Arabidopsis thaliana: one gene and its partners. The protein of the gene in region 4 binds, or shares a complex with, the protein of the main gene of each other region. Each region holds a gene or a part of one and is shown on either strand. Other genes may lie near its edges.

What was found.
Region 1: RPL9 (region 4) and emb1473 share a complex: the UniProt entries of both Arabidopsis thaliana proteins name them as parts of the 50S ribosomal subunit.
Region 2: RPL9 (region 4) and EMB3136 share a complex: the UniProt entries of both Arabidopsis thaliana proteins name them as parts of the 50S ribosomal subunit.
Region 3: RPL9 (region 4) and RPL27 share a complex: the UniProt entries of both Arabidopsis thaliana proteins name them as parts of the 50S ribosomal subunit.

What each region holds. Positions count from the first base shown.
Region 1 is NC_003070.9:29,573,909-29,578,396, reverse strand, and holds emb1473 (Ribosomal protein L13 family protein), read right to left. Parts: upstream 2,592-4,488; 5' UTR 2,401-2,591; coding exon 2,149-2,400; intron 1,841-2,148; coding exon 1,655-1,840; intron 1,455-1,654; coding exon 1,284-1,454; intron 1,108-1,283; coding exon 991-1,107; 3' UTR 517-990; downstream 1-516. Other genes in the region: AT1G78620 (integral membrane protein (Protein of unknown function DUF92, transmembrane)), read left to right, coding at 2,639-3,088, 3,416-3,669, 3,817-3,940, 4,054-4,158, 4,440-4,488.
Region 2 is NC_003076.8:4,339,721-4,342,627, reverse strand, and holds EMB3136 (Ribosomal protein L10 family protein), read right to left. Parts: upstream 1,367-2,907; 5' UTR 1,335-1,366; coding exon 672-1,334; 3' UTR 533-671; downstream 1-532. Other genes in the region: AT5G13520 (peptidase M1 family protein), read left to right, coding at 218-511; AT5G13500 (Hyp O-arabinosyltransferase-like protein), read right to left, coding at 1,801-1,863, 2,206-2,319, 2,469-2,540, 2,670-2,739, 2,845-2,907. UniProt on the Arabidopsis thaliana protein: This protein binds directly to 23S ribosomal RNA.
Region 3 is NC_003076.8:16,409,133-16,412,646, reverse strand, and holds RPL27 (ribosomal protein large subunit 27), read right to left. Parts: upstream 1,866-3,514; 5' UTR 1,782-1,865; coding exon 1,479-1,781; intron 1,180-1,478; coding exon 1,078-1,179; intron 994-1,077; coding exon 802-993; 3' UTR 533-801; downstream 1-532.
Region 4 is NC_003074.8:16,384,528-16,389,268, reverse strand, and holds RPL9 (ribosomal protein L9), read right to left. Parts: upstream 2,875-4,741; 5' UTR 2,765-2,874; coding exon 2,612-2,764; intron 2,278-2,611; coding exon 2,150-2,277; intron 1,994-2,149; coding exon 1,948-1,993; intron 1,807-1,947; coding exon 1,709-1,806; intron 1,626-1,708; coding exon 1,578-1,625; intron 1,427-1,577; coding exon 1,306-1,426; 3' UTR 1,270-1,305; intron 1,022-1,269; 3' UTR 546-1,021; downstream 1-545. Other genes in the region: CHX4 (cation/H+ exchanger 4), read right to left, coding at 1-191, 282-545; ACD1 (Pheophorbide a oxygenase family protein with Rieske 2Fe-2S domain-containing protein), read right to left, coding at 3,065-3,319, 3,413-3,697, 3,770-3,929, 4,013-4,149, 4,238-4,364, 4,459-4,694. UniProt on the Arabidopsis thaliana protein: Binds to the 23S rRNA.

The DNA of each region.
Region 1 (4,488 bases), on a different chromosome or scaffold from region 4:
AGTTTTTCATTCGGATTTTTAAAGTACTTTTTAAAATTTAGATTTTGTTTATTCGGATTTTAAAAATCTTTTTTCATGTGTTTATTTTTTAAAATTATATTATTTAATGGATACTAAATTTATATAATGATATGAAATCTAACCGGATTTTGGATCCAGCAATAGTCGTTAGCGATTCCAAACATTCAACTTGTTTTTCCTATTATTATGTAGATTAAACATTCAAGGTTTTACTTCGCATTTTTTAAAATAGTTTTAATATTATTTTTTTGGATGCTAAATTTACATAATGATATGAATACTAACCGGATTTTGGATCCAACATTAGTCGTTAGCGATTCCAAACATTCAACTTGTTTTCATATTATTATGTAGATTTAACATTCAAGATTTTTATTTGGATTTTTAAAAATAGTTTTTAAAATTTTGATTTTGTTTATTGTCGGATTTTAAAAATCTTTTGTGTTTGTTTGTTTGTTTTTAAATTTATTTGGATGCAAAATTTACATAATGATATGAATACTAACCGGATTTTGGATCTAGCATTAGTCGTTAGCGATTCCAAACATTCAAATTGTATTTCCTATTATTATGTATATTTAACATTCAAATTTTGGATCCAGCATTAAAAATTTCAGTTTTAAGTAATGACTCGATTAAGGCATGAATATTAGATTTTCCTTGCATCTGTGATCTCATTGGGAAGGTTTGTTACCAATTGAAGAGGAAGTTTTTGTTAATGGTGACTACTGTTGCTTATGGCATTTGTATTCATTACATGTCATCTTTTTCATGTTGAAGAAGATATTCAGTAGCAAAAAAAAATAACGAGAAATATTTCAAATTAGAAAGTTTTGTAGCATAACAGAGTTGATAGAAGCGAAAACAAGAATCTGTAAAGCCTCCTCTGGTTTTGGGATGAAGAAACTACAGAAACCTGAGAAGAAAAAACTCTCTGCGCTTGGCGATAATGGAACAGTGGTGGAGCTTCTATTTTTGCAGCTGTATTCTCTTGTCCCTGATAGGCAGATCAAGCGGTTTCTGGGCCTCGTGAGGATGGTCAGGGCCTTTGTACACCTTCAGGTGATTGAACAGAGCTCTCCCAAGCTGCCACAAAATGGTCAGACCAAAGTTAAGAGGGAGTTGGAAAACTAGTAATCAATCAATACCAATATCGCAACAAGTAGTTTCCAAGTTCAATCCATAAGTTTGAAGAAACACGGATTTGCTAAGTGTTAAGACTTAAAGGAGACTAATAAAGAGCTGTGGATTATGTATCTAACCCGTCCCTTTGGAAGCATTCCACGAACAGCATGCTCAACGATTCTTTCAGGAATTCTCTGCTGCAATTGATCAAATGTCTCTACTGTCATACCACCAGGTCGTCCTGAATGCCTCCTGTACAGCTTTTGGTTACGCTTCTTTCCAGATACAGCAACTTTCTCAGCATTCACCTTTAACCAAACAATTGAAAACAGTATTAGAGGTACCAAGTTACAAGCATTGCCCAAACATCTACATAGAGGCTCTACATCTTGCTGCTAATGTGAATCTTACTAAAACCAAATCCCAAGGCTCCTCCTTCAGGAAGAAATTAACTAAAGCAGCACATCAAATTTCTTATTCTCTACAGATAGCTCAAAGAAACTCATACCACAATCACAAAAGCTCCCATGTCGACACTAGGAGTGTAAGAGGCAAGATTCTTCCCACGGATGTGATTAGCAATTGTCGATGCCAATCTACCAAGAATTTTGTCAGTTGCATCAACCACAAACCAGGGCTTGTCCGTGTTCACATGGTCTGAAGCTTTTGGATACCATGTCGTGTTCCAGATGTCCTGTAAACCATAGAATACACTCAATAAAGGTTTCAAGCCAAAGACTTTTAACTTCTCTCCAACCAAACATTAATAATTTCATAAAACGTCCAAGTTAACAAATTCAGAAGAATAAACATCAATTTTCGAAGCCAATTGATGCAGACAACACAGCTAATGAGTCAAAGGCAAAATCCACTACTTAATAAATCGCAATTGGGAGAAGAAAAAAACAAGCCATACTTCAAATTCAAAGCAAGAGCTAAAGTGCGACACTTTATAAATGCGTAGATGCTAAACACAGAGGGAGATAGAAAAATTATCGTTACAGGGCCATTAGCTTCTTCTTCGTCGAACATCCATCGTTGATTCGCCGGAACAAGAGAAGTCGTCGTCGTCGGCTCAGCTTCACACTTCACTTGCAATCCTCTTTTCGAATTCGCATAAATGCCGACTCGTACCGACGGCTTCGAGATAGCCGTTAAAGAGAACCCTAAAAACGGAGACTTTCTCTCACTTCCGGAGGATTTCACGGAAGAAGAAGAGAGTATCACCGTCGAAGACGAGCAAAGAACCGCCATTTTTGTTTTTCTCTCTTCTGCAAATTTCTTCTGCTCTTTCCGATTTCTCGGATAAGATTGGGTTCTCAGTAAATAGTAGTAGTGGCAACACCGTAAATAATCTGATGAATACGACCGAAAAATAAACACAACACGGGTTAAGGATCCGGGTTTTTTTCGGAGCTCCGGATTCAACCCGAAATACTGTTTTTTTTTTCTCAATAGGAGAGAAAGGTCTTCTTCGGAAGCAAGCTAAGTCATGGCAACGATTTCGTCAACTCTACTCTTAAATTCTTCTAGATCAGCTTTACCACTAAGATTCCCAAAATTCTCGGGATTTTCTTCTTCCTCTCCATTCGCTAGATCTTACAGATTTGGACGACGTAATCTGGAACCACTTTCCAACGGAATGCTTTCGTCGGGAAGTAGAGCCGACGGTGCTACGGCGGCGGCTGCATCGATGGAAGGAGTGATGACGGAGGCGATGAAACTGATTCAATCGGCGTCACCAACTTGGAAATCAGCTGTGGCTAACAATTTATTGATTTTTGTTCTCGGTTCACCGCTTCTTGTTACCGGATTGTCCGCTTCTGGGATCGCCGCCGCGTTTTTGCTTGGTACTTTAACTTGGAGAGCTTATGGCTCTGCTGGTTTCCTCTTAGTCGCTGCTTACTTCGTCATAGTAAGTGCATTTGTGATCAACCTGAATGTAATTCGGTAACTGACTCTTAGAACGTAGAAATTCGCTGCTTTGATTTTGATTTCGAGCTGATGAATGAAGAATGTCCTTAGATTTTAGATGTGTTATTGTTTAATTTAGGAATTGTGGACGTGTTAGAGATCCTAAATCACGTTTACAGATTAAGGAGCTACTTTTTCTGATCATGCTCAACATTGAGATACTTAGTCTTTTCTCTGCAATGCTTTAAGTTTTAGATTTCAATATCGTGTTTCACCCCAGAGCTGGAAATAGTAACAGTAAATTTGCAATTGATTCTGGCGCTGAAGTTGGTTTAGATGATTTACAATATCACAGGGAACAGCGGCAACGAAGGTTAAAATGACGCAAAAGGAAGCACAAGGTGTGGCCGAAAAGAGAAAGGGTAGAAGAGGACCACGCAGTGTGATTGGTTCAAGTGCTGCTGGTTGTGTCTGTGCTTTTCTTTCAATATATCAAGTGGGAGGAGCAGCTTTTTCCCAGCTTTTCCGGCTTGGTTTTGTTTCCAGTTTCTGCACTAAAGTATCTGACACTGTCTCGAGCGAGATAGGCAAAGCTTATGGAAAAACAACGTGAGTATGCTACTGTTATCCAGCTATAGCCTCTTCTGTTATGGTCTGTGTCTGTTTTCTGTCTGATGTATGGCATGGACTTGTGGTGTCATGACATGAATCCAATCGACAACTGAAATGATCTTACTAACCATTGCCAATTCGCAGGTATTTAGCTACGACATTTAAGATTGTACCAAGAGGAACAGAGGGAGCTATGAGTCTTGAAGGAACATTGGCTGGACTTTTAGCATCATTTTTTCTTGCATCTGTTGGCTGCTTCCTGGGTCAGGTAATAGTGTTATTTGCTACCAAAATTTCCCTTCACAGCTTCTTTATGCTACTAAAGACTGTTATCATTACACGATTTTTAAACTTCTTTTCCTTTTGATATCTTGAACACAGATAACTCCTCCAGAAGCAGCTGTATGTGTACTAGCTTCCCAGATTGCCAATCTTGGAGAGAGCATAATAGGTGCTTCTTTTCAAGACAAAGAAGGATTCAAATGGGTATGCTCACTTCAATGAACTCTCTTCTTTTTGTTTTATTGATCTCACTCTGTCTACTTGTTGTCAATGCAAGAAGATGATAATCAAATGAATATACCGTCACTTCTTGCAGAAAGACTGATAGATAACTGGCTTGAGTGGAAAACGATTTCCATTCAATACAGAATTTTGAAGTTTTCGTCTTATGAATCCATTCCTTGCAATTAGTTACCAACTAAACAAGAATGCAATGATCTCGACTGTATTCTGTCTCATGTTAGTCACTATTTTGCTATGTGTAGCTAAACAATGATGTAGTCAACGTGATCAACATAAGCTTGGGAAGCATTG
Region 2 (2,907 bases), on a different chromosome or scaffold from region 4:
TCAATAGTTACTCTTGGATTAATGTGGGGCTAGTGAATAATGATTGTGGAAAAACCCTCTTGGCTTTGGGAGAGTTCATGATTGTGGAAAGTGTATTGGCTTTGCAAGAGTTAGGATCTTATCTTGTTTGTTAATGACAATGCTAGTCAACAAAGGAAGGATTGGTGATCAGGTTCAAACCTATGGCTAACACCCACTTTGCTCATTGATGAATCAGGTCATGGCCTTGGACAAGCGGTACAGACTGGCAGAATCGAAAGACTATGAAGTGAAGGTCTCGTTTCTGCAACTTGCAGTCACATCCAAGTGCAGAGAGTACCATGGGGAAGTGAAGAAAACACTAAAAGAGGTAGGAAGGATGAAGTACCTGCGTCCACTCTTCACTGCTCTTGCACAATCTGGTGGAACAGAAGAGAAGCAGCTGGCAAAACAGGTGTTTGCAGAAGCTCGAGAAACTTATCACCCCATAGCTCAGGGAGTTGTTGAATCTATCCTCTCTAAGTACATCTAAACAAGACCGTTATGATAGCTTGAGAGCACTCCGAAAAACAACATTTCAATAAAACTCAGTCACTGTAATAACAATTGGTGCTTGAGAGAGTCATAAACAAAAAATTGAATTGCCTTTTGTTGCGTACATTACATTCTCCAAAAGATTAGTACAAGCTTAACTATGCATTACTCTCATCTTCCAACTTCTTAATGTAAGCCATAAGCACCATTATAACCTCTCTTGCTGGTGCTTGTAAAGTAGTGACGAGATTAATAGCCGGAGATTGCAGAGCACCGAGCATCTTAGCGTAGACCTCAGCACGAGTGGGCATGGTCTCGAGGACTTTGAAATTGTCAGGAGCGTAGAACTTACCTTCGAAGACAGCGCCGGCAAAGTCATTGTTTTCAAGCTTGCGTTCCTTCTGGAAGCTCCGGTAGGGTTTGATAGCAGAAGGGATTTCATCGGTCTGGACGAAAAGCCAAGCGTTCATGCCTTTCATACAAGGCTTGAGAGCTTCCCATTTGGTGCCTTCAATGGCTTTGAAGACCAAAGTGTTCTTGGCGACGATGAGCTTTGTAGTGTCGGGGAGAGTTCTCCGGAGGTCTTGAAACTGCTTGACGGTGAGGCCTTTGTAGTTGATGGCGGCGAGGAGATGGCAGTTCTCCAAGTGAGACTTGACGGCTTCGACAGTCTCTTCCTTCTTGTTACGAGACACCGCGGATCTGATGACCGGGAGGCGAGGGTAATTTGGGGAATTCGAGGTTTTGGGTGTGAGAGTTGAGATTCGCTGGTGACAGAGAGGAGACAAGGAAGAAGAGAAGGAGAGAAGAGCCACTTCCATTTTTTTGCTCAGAAGATGAGGAGACTGTTTCTAGCTGTGTGGAGGAAGAAGATAGATGAACAACAACACAATCCTCCACTAAGCAATTTTATTTTTTTATTTTTCTTAAATGGAAAATAAAATTTATGGATAAAAAAAGGGTTAATAGACGGAATTAGTAACTCCGTCTAATTTAACGCATTGTGTCTTTTAGTCTCTGCTTCTGAATTCTGAACGCAATCCATTGGTAAACTAATCAAATAACTAGACCCAAAATAATTCTATTTTCTTTCTCGGAATTATGGAAGATGTCTCGTCTCGTGTCAAACAAATAATTTTGTAATTTACTACTCAAGTTCATAATTTAACCATTACAAGAAAAAACAGACAAGAAGGGAAGTAAAGGGAGAAGGAAAAAAAAATTAGGCAAAATATTGTTGCTGTATGGATTTGTCCCTATGGTTTGTGTTTTGTGTGTGGATGTGAGTTAGAGAGTGTCCCAATTAGGGATAGTCGCAGTAGCTTCATTCACCATCTTCACAAGTGTCACCTGCACCATCACACAATATGTTATTAAGGACAGTCATTCAATATTACGGTTCTCACTCTCACACTTGATTGACCACAAGCAAAACCGTAACTCCTGAAGATATTACAACTACTTCTAACAGACTTATGCATATCATCTCCCCGGAAAGTAAAACCATTGCAAATTCACAAACTACATCAAACTATGGACGACCATTTGTGTATGACGTTGCTATTTAGTCTCCGGAATCCACTAAACCAATGGACATGATACAAATAAGTTCCCCTTTGAGCTATGAATGGACCTTACTGCAGTATCTTGTTTTAAGCACGATCAGATTATAGAGGTTTATATATAACATACCACACTTTCGGGAACACCGGGAGGCGGCAAGGACATGTTCCTTGGAGGAGGACCCCGCAAATGTGATCTCTTATCGAATCGCCACTCTCCTATTTTGCCATATGTCAGCTCCCCCTGTATTTAACAGTCAGCAAAACTTAGTAGTGACTAAAAAGAGAACCTAATGACCTTAAGTAAAAACAAATGACCACAAGATGTGAAATCTGTTCCTAATTTATCAGCCAAAAATTAAAATTAAACAATCGTGTCAAACAGAAAATCACCTTCATGTTGTAGTCGCATCCATAAGTGTAATGAATGATAAACTTCCCCTTGGTAGACAAATCCCACGGAGGCTGAAAGATATTGTGAGAGAACTTAGGAATATGGAGCAGAGAAACAACTTTTGTAACTTTGACAAAACAAAAGTATCTTCGACATAGAATATGTTATCACTAAGGTATCAGCACAAGGTCGATTCTTACCTGAAGCATGAAATCCTTCCGAAGTATGTGACGCACCCCATGTATAGCAGATGCAATTGCGTAACCGTACCTTATCAAACAGAAAAGAGAAGAATAAAGTAGTCAGTTAACAATGATGGGATTCAAAAGGTGGAGAGCCAATTCATGATTTAAGATTCTTGTTTCTTGTGCTAACATTTCCAGCACCCATCCAAATGCCTTATCAGTTTCTGGATCGTTTTTCATTGTCAGCGAGACA
Region 3 (3,514 bases), on a different chromosome or scaffold from region 4:
AATTACTGCTCCTAGAATTTAAAACTTCTCATCAATTACTATTTTTGCTCTAGGCCTTTAGTGTTATTCAATAATATATCGTCATCTTACATATATATATCGTTACATACATGTGTATAAGTATTTGACCTCAAGCTGGTGAAATATGGCCTAAAGATAACACAAAGGATCTAATATGGTACAGGTAAAACGTTAGCGAAATTGATGGATTCAAGATGAGCAAGATATAGATAAATGAAAAAAAAAAAACATAGAATAATAATTTCATTCCACTAATTATGCAATGATAGACGAAAATGAATATTATTCAATTTCTTTTTTGTACCACTATCTACATATTCCGAAATGCTAAGTAATTGGGCTAAAACCCATTATTTCGCTAGAAGGCCCATAAAGTCTTCGGCTTCTTAGACTAACAATGGATCCATTTTTGGGATCCAAATAAGTTTTATAATTTTTATAATAAAAAAACCTCAAATAGACACTTGAACTAGATTTATACTTGACTAAATCTAATTGGGGCATTCAAAGGTTTGGTGGTCTCTCTTATCAATGATTCAGAATTACTAAGTTGGAAGAGAAATTCACTAAATTAAAACCTTTGAGGCTTTGACTAATTAACAATAACCATTTGATTACACTAATAACTCAAGTTGGGTAAAAATCCGCCTGCTTGGGACTCAATTTGACAAAAGAGAGGCTTGGATTCGACAATACAACCAACTCTTAATACTCTGAAAGGATCATTTTTCATAAACAAGACTAAACAAAAAGAGACAAGGAAACTCCACATTCAATCTTCTAGCACTCCGGATTGGCTTCAGCATCATCGACTGAGGCAGATGCAAGAACAAGTTCTGGTGTAGGAAGTGTGTACGAGTAATTCTCGCGTCTCGCCTTCTTCTTCTCCCTTTGCAATCTGAAGTTTTCTCTCTTTCTTGCTCTGTAGCTATTGGGATTCTCTGGTACAATTTCTCTTGGATACACACTTATCTGCAAAAACAAGTCTCATTTCCTTTAACATCCTAGAAGATTAAGAAAGCTTATAAACCTTACTCAGTATAACTACAGGTATACCTTCTTCCTGTCAGGACCAAACTTCTCGAACTTGACTAATCCATCGATTAAAGAGAAGATGGTATGATCTTTACCAATCCCAACATTTTTCCCAGCATGGAACTGCACCAAACATCACCATTCATGAATCAATCTTCTCAAACAATATAGTTCCATCCTAAACACAAACATAACGTAGAACTTCCAGAGAAATGGCAATGGCATCAGAAACAAGAGCTACTAAATACGAAAATTCATCCTAAACCCAGATGTGTTCGAGAATGGAATCTGAAAACAGAGCTTGAGAGCTAAACCCATAAGAAACTGACCAAATTGACAGAGTTGCGGTGAAATTAGAAGAGAATTGAAAGAGGAGCTTAAGAGGTTCTCAATTTCAACAATTCTGTGTTCTTAAGTGTTACCTTAGTGCCACGTTGACGAACAATGATAGCACCAGGTTTAGCAACTTGGTCACCGTAGATCTTGACGCCGAGTCGTTGCCCAGGAGAATCACGACCGTTCTTGGTGCTACCAGCTCCTTTCTTATGGGCCGATTCAATTGTCAACGGAATCGGAGCTTGAAGATTTTCCAGAGGAAGAGTCACCGTGAAAGAGGTTTTGGGGGAAAAACTCAAATCGCCTCTAAGAAAAGACGAAGTCGAAGAAAGAGACAAGCCTTTGAATGCCCCAATTAGATTCAAACTCATCGATGTTGCCATCGCCATTGGTAAAATCACCAGAGAATTCGTTGGAGTTTCGAAATGGAGAAATTAGGGTTTTCTGAGGTTGAAGAAGAAGTTCTTCTCCTTATCGTTTCGTCTCACTCTCTCGATTAGTGACCACTAAAATTACACGTCATCAAATAATGTAAGATAAGGTGAGTACACGTCAGCAAGTAAATAATGGAAAAAGAGAAAAAAGTGAATGTTGACAGTGGGATTTGAACCCACGCCCTTTCGGACCAGAACCTTAATCTGGCGCCTTAGACCAACTCGGCCATATCAACTTGTTGTATAAAATATTAAATCTAAATATATAGACTACAGTTTCAAATATTCATTATATAGTAGAAATTTCTCAGATAAAAACAAAAACCAAACTTAGAATAATAATATGCAAGAAGCAGCCAAAAATAATTATAGACTTTAGCTATAATATTAAAACATAAATTAGGATTTATACTGACAATGTCACTCTAAAAATTATTTTTACATTGGCGGAAAAATGTAATTTTCTGATTTGGCAAAAAAAAAATATTATTTGATTTTGACATGTTTTTACAGTTTTGACCGAAAATTAAAAATTATATTATTTGAGTTTCATAGACTGTCTAGTTGGTTAGAGGAGAAAAAAGTATTATGAACAAGATGAGAGATCACTATGACTCTCCTGTCATTAGTAGCAAGCCTTAAATAATGTTTGGAGATTTTAATGAGATTTTAGAACTTGTGGAGCATTCTAGAGCTGAAGACAACCCTATTATACCAATGGAATGAGAGACTTTCAATCAGTGGTAAACTATTGCTTTGTTTGAGACCTATCATCCCATGGTCCGCTGTATACTTGGTGTAATAAGCGAGAAAATGATCTTATCTTAAAGAAGTTGGATAGAGTTATAGAGACATGGACACAAACTTTTCTTTTTGATTGGATGGAAAGTCATAGGAGAGTTATAGTGATCTCTCATCTCTACTAATTGTTTATGGTTTTCATATTTATTGACAAAAGTATCTTTCAAAGACCTTCATTGTTCTTGAAATTCGACGATGAAGGTCTTTGGAACGGTAAATGGTAATTGGTTGTTTATTCTCTTTTAGTTATGTTTTCTATATTTTCATTTCTTTCTGCCTTCAAAAGAATTTGATATCATGTCTGTTTCCTATTCAATTTGCCTACTAATGATTCTCTCTCATAGAATTATTGTGAACAGCCACTAAAATATTTTTACCATAATCGACATGCTTTCTTATCATAAGTCACTACACCTACTTGGAAATGAACACTGGATTGTTTGAAACAAATGCATATTTCGAAGGTTGAGTTAGAAAGTGATGTAAGATACTTATGCAAAAACTTAAGAGTAAGTCTTGCTAATCATCCAAAAGACCATGAGAAAATAACATTTTTATGTCGAAAGGGGAGGATTCTCTTTGTGCTCCCTCTGCCAATAAAGAGGCAAAACCAATATAGCTAGAAACCTAGCAATGTTCTTAAGAACGAAATATATAGCAAAGTCATTGGCTCCAATCCTTTTTGGATTTGGGTAGACCCATGTAATTACTAGGATCCGGATTAGTTATATGTTAACCATGTAAAAACTATGTTAAATAATTAAGAAATTAAATGTCCATTATCAAATTAAACTTCATCTGTTTTTCATTATACTGAAAATTACAAAACTAAAAATAAAGCAAGTAAGCAAAATCTAAAAATCCTCGTCAAGCTTGAAGACATGATC
Region 4 (4,741 bases):
ATAGCTACAGCTTTTCTCCCGGTGCTGCGGATCAAACTCAAGTCCATTTTAACTCCCATCAAGAACCAAAACATCATGTAGGAACATGCACCCACTAAACCAAACAGAGTCTCTTTATAGTCTTCCGTCGAGAGGAATTTCCTAGCCGGTGTATTCTCCTTAAGAAACGACTTGCTCAAGAGAATCCCAGTCTGGCAAAACCACACAGAATATCAAACATAAGCAATGCAAACAAAGAGGAAGAGAGATTTGAAGATTCAAGAATTGAGTAAAGTTCTTACAAGCATATGGGAGGTGAAACGAATCATGCCGAGACGTCTGAGGAAGAAATGGAAGAATTGCCAGAGAATAGTGACGATAAGGAAAATGATCTGAACATGTGGAAACATGTAATTCCAGAACTCAATGTTTGCTTGAGGATCTGGGAGCTTCGGGGAGGGCCATAGCCCGCTCGAGCTCGGGTTAATAGGCAAGATACCGCAGATCATGTTTGCATCTCTCCATGTATCTCTCAGGTAAGGGATCCTATCACCATTAAACTCCATTGGACAAAACTTGTTAACAAGAACAAAGATGATAGAAACAAGAGAATCATATGATTATAAAAACCGAATCAAGAGCTATAACTGTCTTAAACAAAAAAGGTTTTGGTAACAGAATTGAAGAGAAGCAGTGAAACAAAAAAACATCTGGGTTTTGTCATTAAACAACAACTCTCTAAAAATAGTCAATCTTGTGGGAACAAGAGACGGCGACATAGTTTTTCAGATTTCTGGTTATTTGTTAGTTTTTTAAACAGCTTGTTAGTGTTAATTTAAGCATTCTCATCACTTCAACAGACAAATGAATACAATATAACTTCAAGTAAATATCATAACTTGCAAGAGAATATTATACTTTTAGCGTTTCCAGATTCCAAAAATAGCAAAAATACAAATGCATCAAACAATCTAAAGGAAAAACTTCACAACCTTCAATCCTCACCACAAGAGGCTACTCTCTTTTCCCTCTCTATACGTTCCTGCAAGTTCAAAACACCAAACACAGTGCGATGGACAATTAGCATCTGCGTTTGCGGCTAGACCTTAAAACGCAAAACTCCGTTCAACAGCCAATATTCCCGACCAATGTTTATATGCCGATGTTCAGAGTTCAGAACATCGGTTTAACTACTTATTTCATGCCAATTAAGACACGAACTAAGACAAAACTAATACTTAGTTTCATTTATGGTTAAAAGCCACATGATCATGGAAAATCAAGAAATACCTTGGGATGCAGTAGGAGTCTTGAATCGTTGAAGGTTTAGTTAGCGAAAACATTGATCTTAACTCGAGCAGTGACATCGGGGTGAAGCTTGAGTTCGGCTATGTATTCTCCGGTTTCACGGATTTCTGGGAGAGAGACAAGGCGTTTGTCGATGTCCCTGCAAAACACAGCCACAGAGAAGCAGATAAAACCATATTAGGTTCTTCGAACAACACTAAAAACCAAATGTAGACTGATCCAACTAAACCGCCCACATGAGAAAGCTTGTAGCTTTTTATGTGGAAATGTAAAATTTTCTATGTTGTTACTTTTGGAGCTGTGATTTGATGATGTCGACGAGGTCTTGAGCTGTGACACTGCAGGAAAATATAAAGTTAAGTACAGGCTAAACACTATTCTCAAGACTGTTAAAATCTAGATTTGCTTAAGTAGGACTTACGATCCAAATATCAGTTTGCCTTTACCGCCTTTGCGTTTAACCTTGAAAGCACCAACGGTTTGGAATACCATCGCCAGTTGTTGTGCCTCTTCTTTCACCTGCAAAAAAGGTTCCACGCAAAGAAAAAACCAACAAACAGATGAAAATCAATAACCAAAGAGTTTTTTGGTGATCACTCAAACACCAAAACTTTACATGATGATCAAATAAAAACAATCAATGTATTCATATCAGATTACCCTTTGCTTCTCTGCCTCAATCCGTTCGTCTTCCATCTTCAATTCCCTGGGGGAAAAACACACACACAAAAAGAAAGAAAATGATGTTTTTCTTGTTGATCTTACAACATTGTAGCAAAGTCCCTCGAAATACAAAGGCCTTAGAACCGAATAGTAAGAGCATACAAAAGCGAACGGAAATTTCGAAGTTGAGGTGAATTACTTGAGCAGAAGTGGAGTCATAAGCTGAGCCTTTCCAGTAGGCAAGAGGAAGTTTCTGAAAAATCCAGCTTTCACATCAAGTAATTGCCCTTGCTTACCCAAATCCGTCACATCCTCTTTCAAAATTACCTTAAAGACACAAAACAAGATTTACCATTAGTGTTTCACTTACTCCATTTCTCTACACAGAAACAAAGCTTCAAACCAATTTATCTTCACTACTTGAAACTAAACTGGTAATATAAAGGCGTCTACTTTTCTAATGTTGATTCATCTTTCTTCCTAACTACGCTGATACAAGAACAAAGACGATGTTTTTACACTAAACCCATAAATTAAGCATCTTCAAGTCTTTTACTTTCATCTCCACCAAAATTCTTCAGAAACACAAGCTCAAATCAAAAACTAACTAAAAGCCAAATCAAATTTTTGAAGGAAACCCATGAAAGGTAATGACTTTTACCTTGCGAAGTTTCTTAGCTTTCTTCTGGGAAACAACTTCAAAATTGAACCTTCGCTCAGATACTTTTAGGGTTTCATTTGCACCGCCATTGAAGCTGTGTGACCAACAAGGAGAGGAGCTCCATGAGAGAGACAAAGCTGTCGAAGAAGCCATAGCCAAAGCTGATTTCACTTCAAAGCAGAGATAACAAGAGCGCACAGTTGTAGTAATTGTTATCTTCTTATCGGCTTTTCGTGTGCTTGCTCAAGTGAAGTGACGAATGTTTTTCTTATGTTTCGAATTTGACCCCGTAATTATTCTACTTTTCTGTTTTCTTACTTAAAAGTTTTATAAAGTTCAATTGAGTACCCAAAATTTAACGGTTAAATCGGTTTTATAGTGCTAAAAGTTCCTCTGGATTTTGATTTACAATGTTTGTACTTTGTATGATGATTATACATATACACAACAAATCTACTCGATTTCAGAATGTACATAATCTCTAAACACAAAGTTCTTCTCTTGTTCATGTAAAGCATATGCAGAAGCAGCTGATATCAGTGATAAACCAGCAAGAACCAGTCGAATCTGAACATCAGAAGGAACACCAGCCGTGGCGGCCCAGAAAACCGTCGCGCCAACGAGAAACTTCTTGAGGATTTGGAAACTGTTGTAAGCTCCTTTGCAGGAAGAGCATACTTGTGTATGCTGATCAAATCTATCTAGCATCTGTTTGTTCAAATTTGTCACGTTTTCAGACATGTGTTTGTATATATATAGAGATCAATCAAATGATGTTAGGATGCATGATTGATGGCTCACCTGACGCTTGGTTAAGACAGTGGAAGGGAGAGGTTGGTTAGACGGGGTGGAGCCGAACCATTCAGGCTGACTCTTACCATGCCGTCTGAGCCAGTTTCTGAATGCTAGAACAAAACGGTCTGCCTGGGTTGGAGTGAATGTGAGCTTTGTGTACTGTTTGTTCACGTCGTAGTCTGGTGACTCCATTGATTTAGCGAGGAATACTTTCTCTTGTCCTTGAAGTACGATCATGTCTCCGTCATAGACTAAGTTCGAAGTCCAGTGTTCATACCATCTTGGTACAACCTAACAAGGAACAGCTTCAGAAGAATTTACGTAGTAAAATCGGATTAGAGATGGAATCAAAGTTTGTTTTACCTGCCACCAAGCTGGTCCTGGTACAGAGAACTGAAAGAAGTTACGGGCGCTGCAAACGATGGAACGGGTCTTTCCTGGAGCCATTGGTATATTGAATGAGCAAATCCAAATGACCCATTTTTGATTACCGACGATTGGTAGTTTCGCATCTAACTCAATTCTGTAGACAAGGATACACAATTTCATTCTATGCAACTGTATGCTAACCATTTATTATGTATAGTGAGCAAACTCAACACTCACTTGTTCATAGAATAGCACGGAGCAACAAATTTTGCGGTTATCCTTGGACTGTCATCATTCGCACCTTGGAAACCCCAAGGCCCACTTGACTCCACCTTGAACGGCAATGGTTTGGCTCTGTCTCTTCTTCCTGTAACCTGTTTACAACACGTAATCATCGCCTGAGGATAATATCCCTTAGTGGAAATGCAAACACATTGGGAGCTTTGAGAAAGAAAACAACACCTTGTGATGAGCAAAATCTATATGGGAAGGATCAGATACATTTTCCATGAGAGTATCATATCCATAGAAAAGATCCCTTTGAATTGTCACCGTCGAAAATTCCGGTTTATCGAAATCATCCGGCAACCTTTTATGTTAAAGATCAACGCATTTAATAAAACGAGTAATAAAACGAGTATGCTATGTTCATGGAAGCCTGAGAAGATAATCATTTTCGTTACCTAGGGGGTTCAATTGAATTGGCTCTATCCCAACCATTTTCATCAGGCCACACAAAGAGAAGACCTTGAGACACCATTGTCGGGAACTTAATAGCACAAGCTCTCGGGGATTTAACAGCACGAGCTTCAGGACCTGAAGTAGCAGCCTGAGGAATCCTAGTGCAAGATCCACACCCACCAAATGACCATCCATGATACGAACATTGCAAGTGTCCATTCTCATCCAACCTTCCTTCCTACATAACCACAATGCATCAACACATACACAAACACATCAATGAGT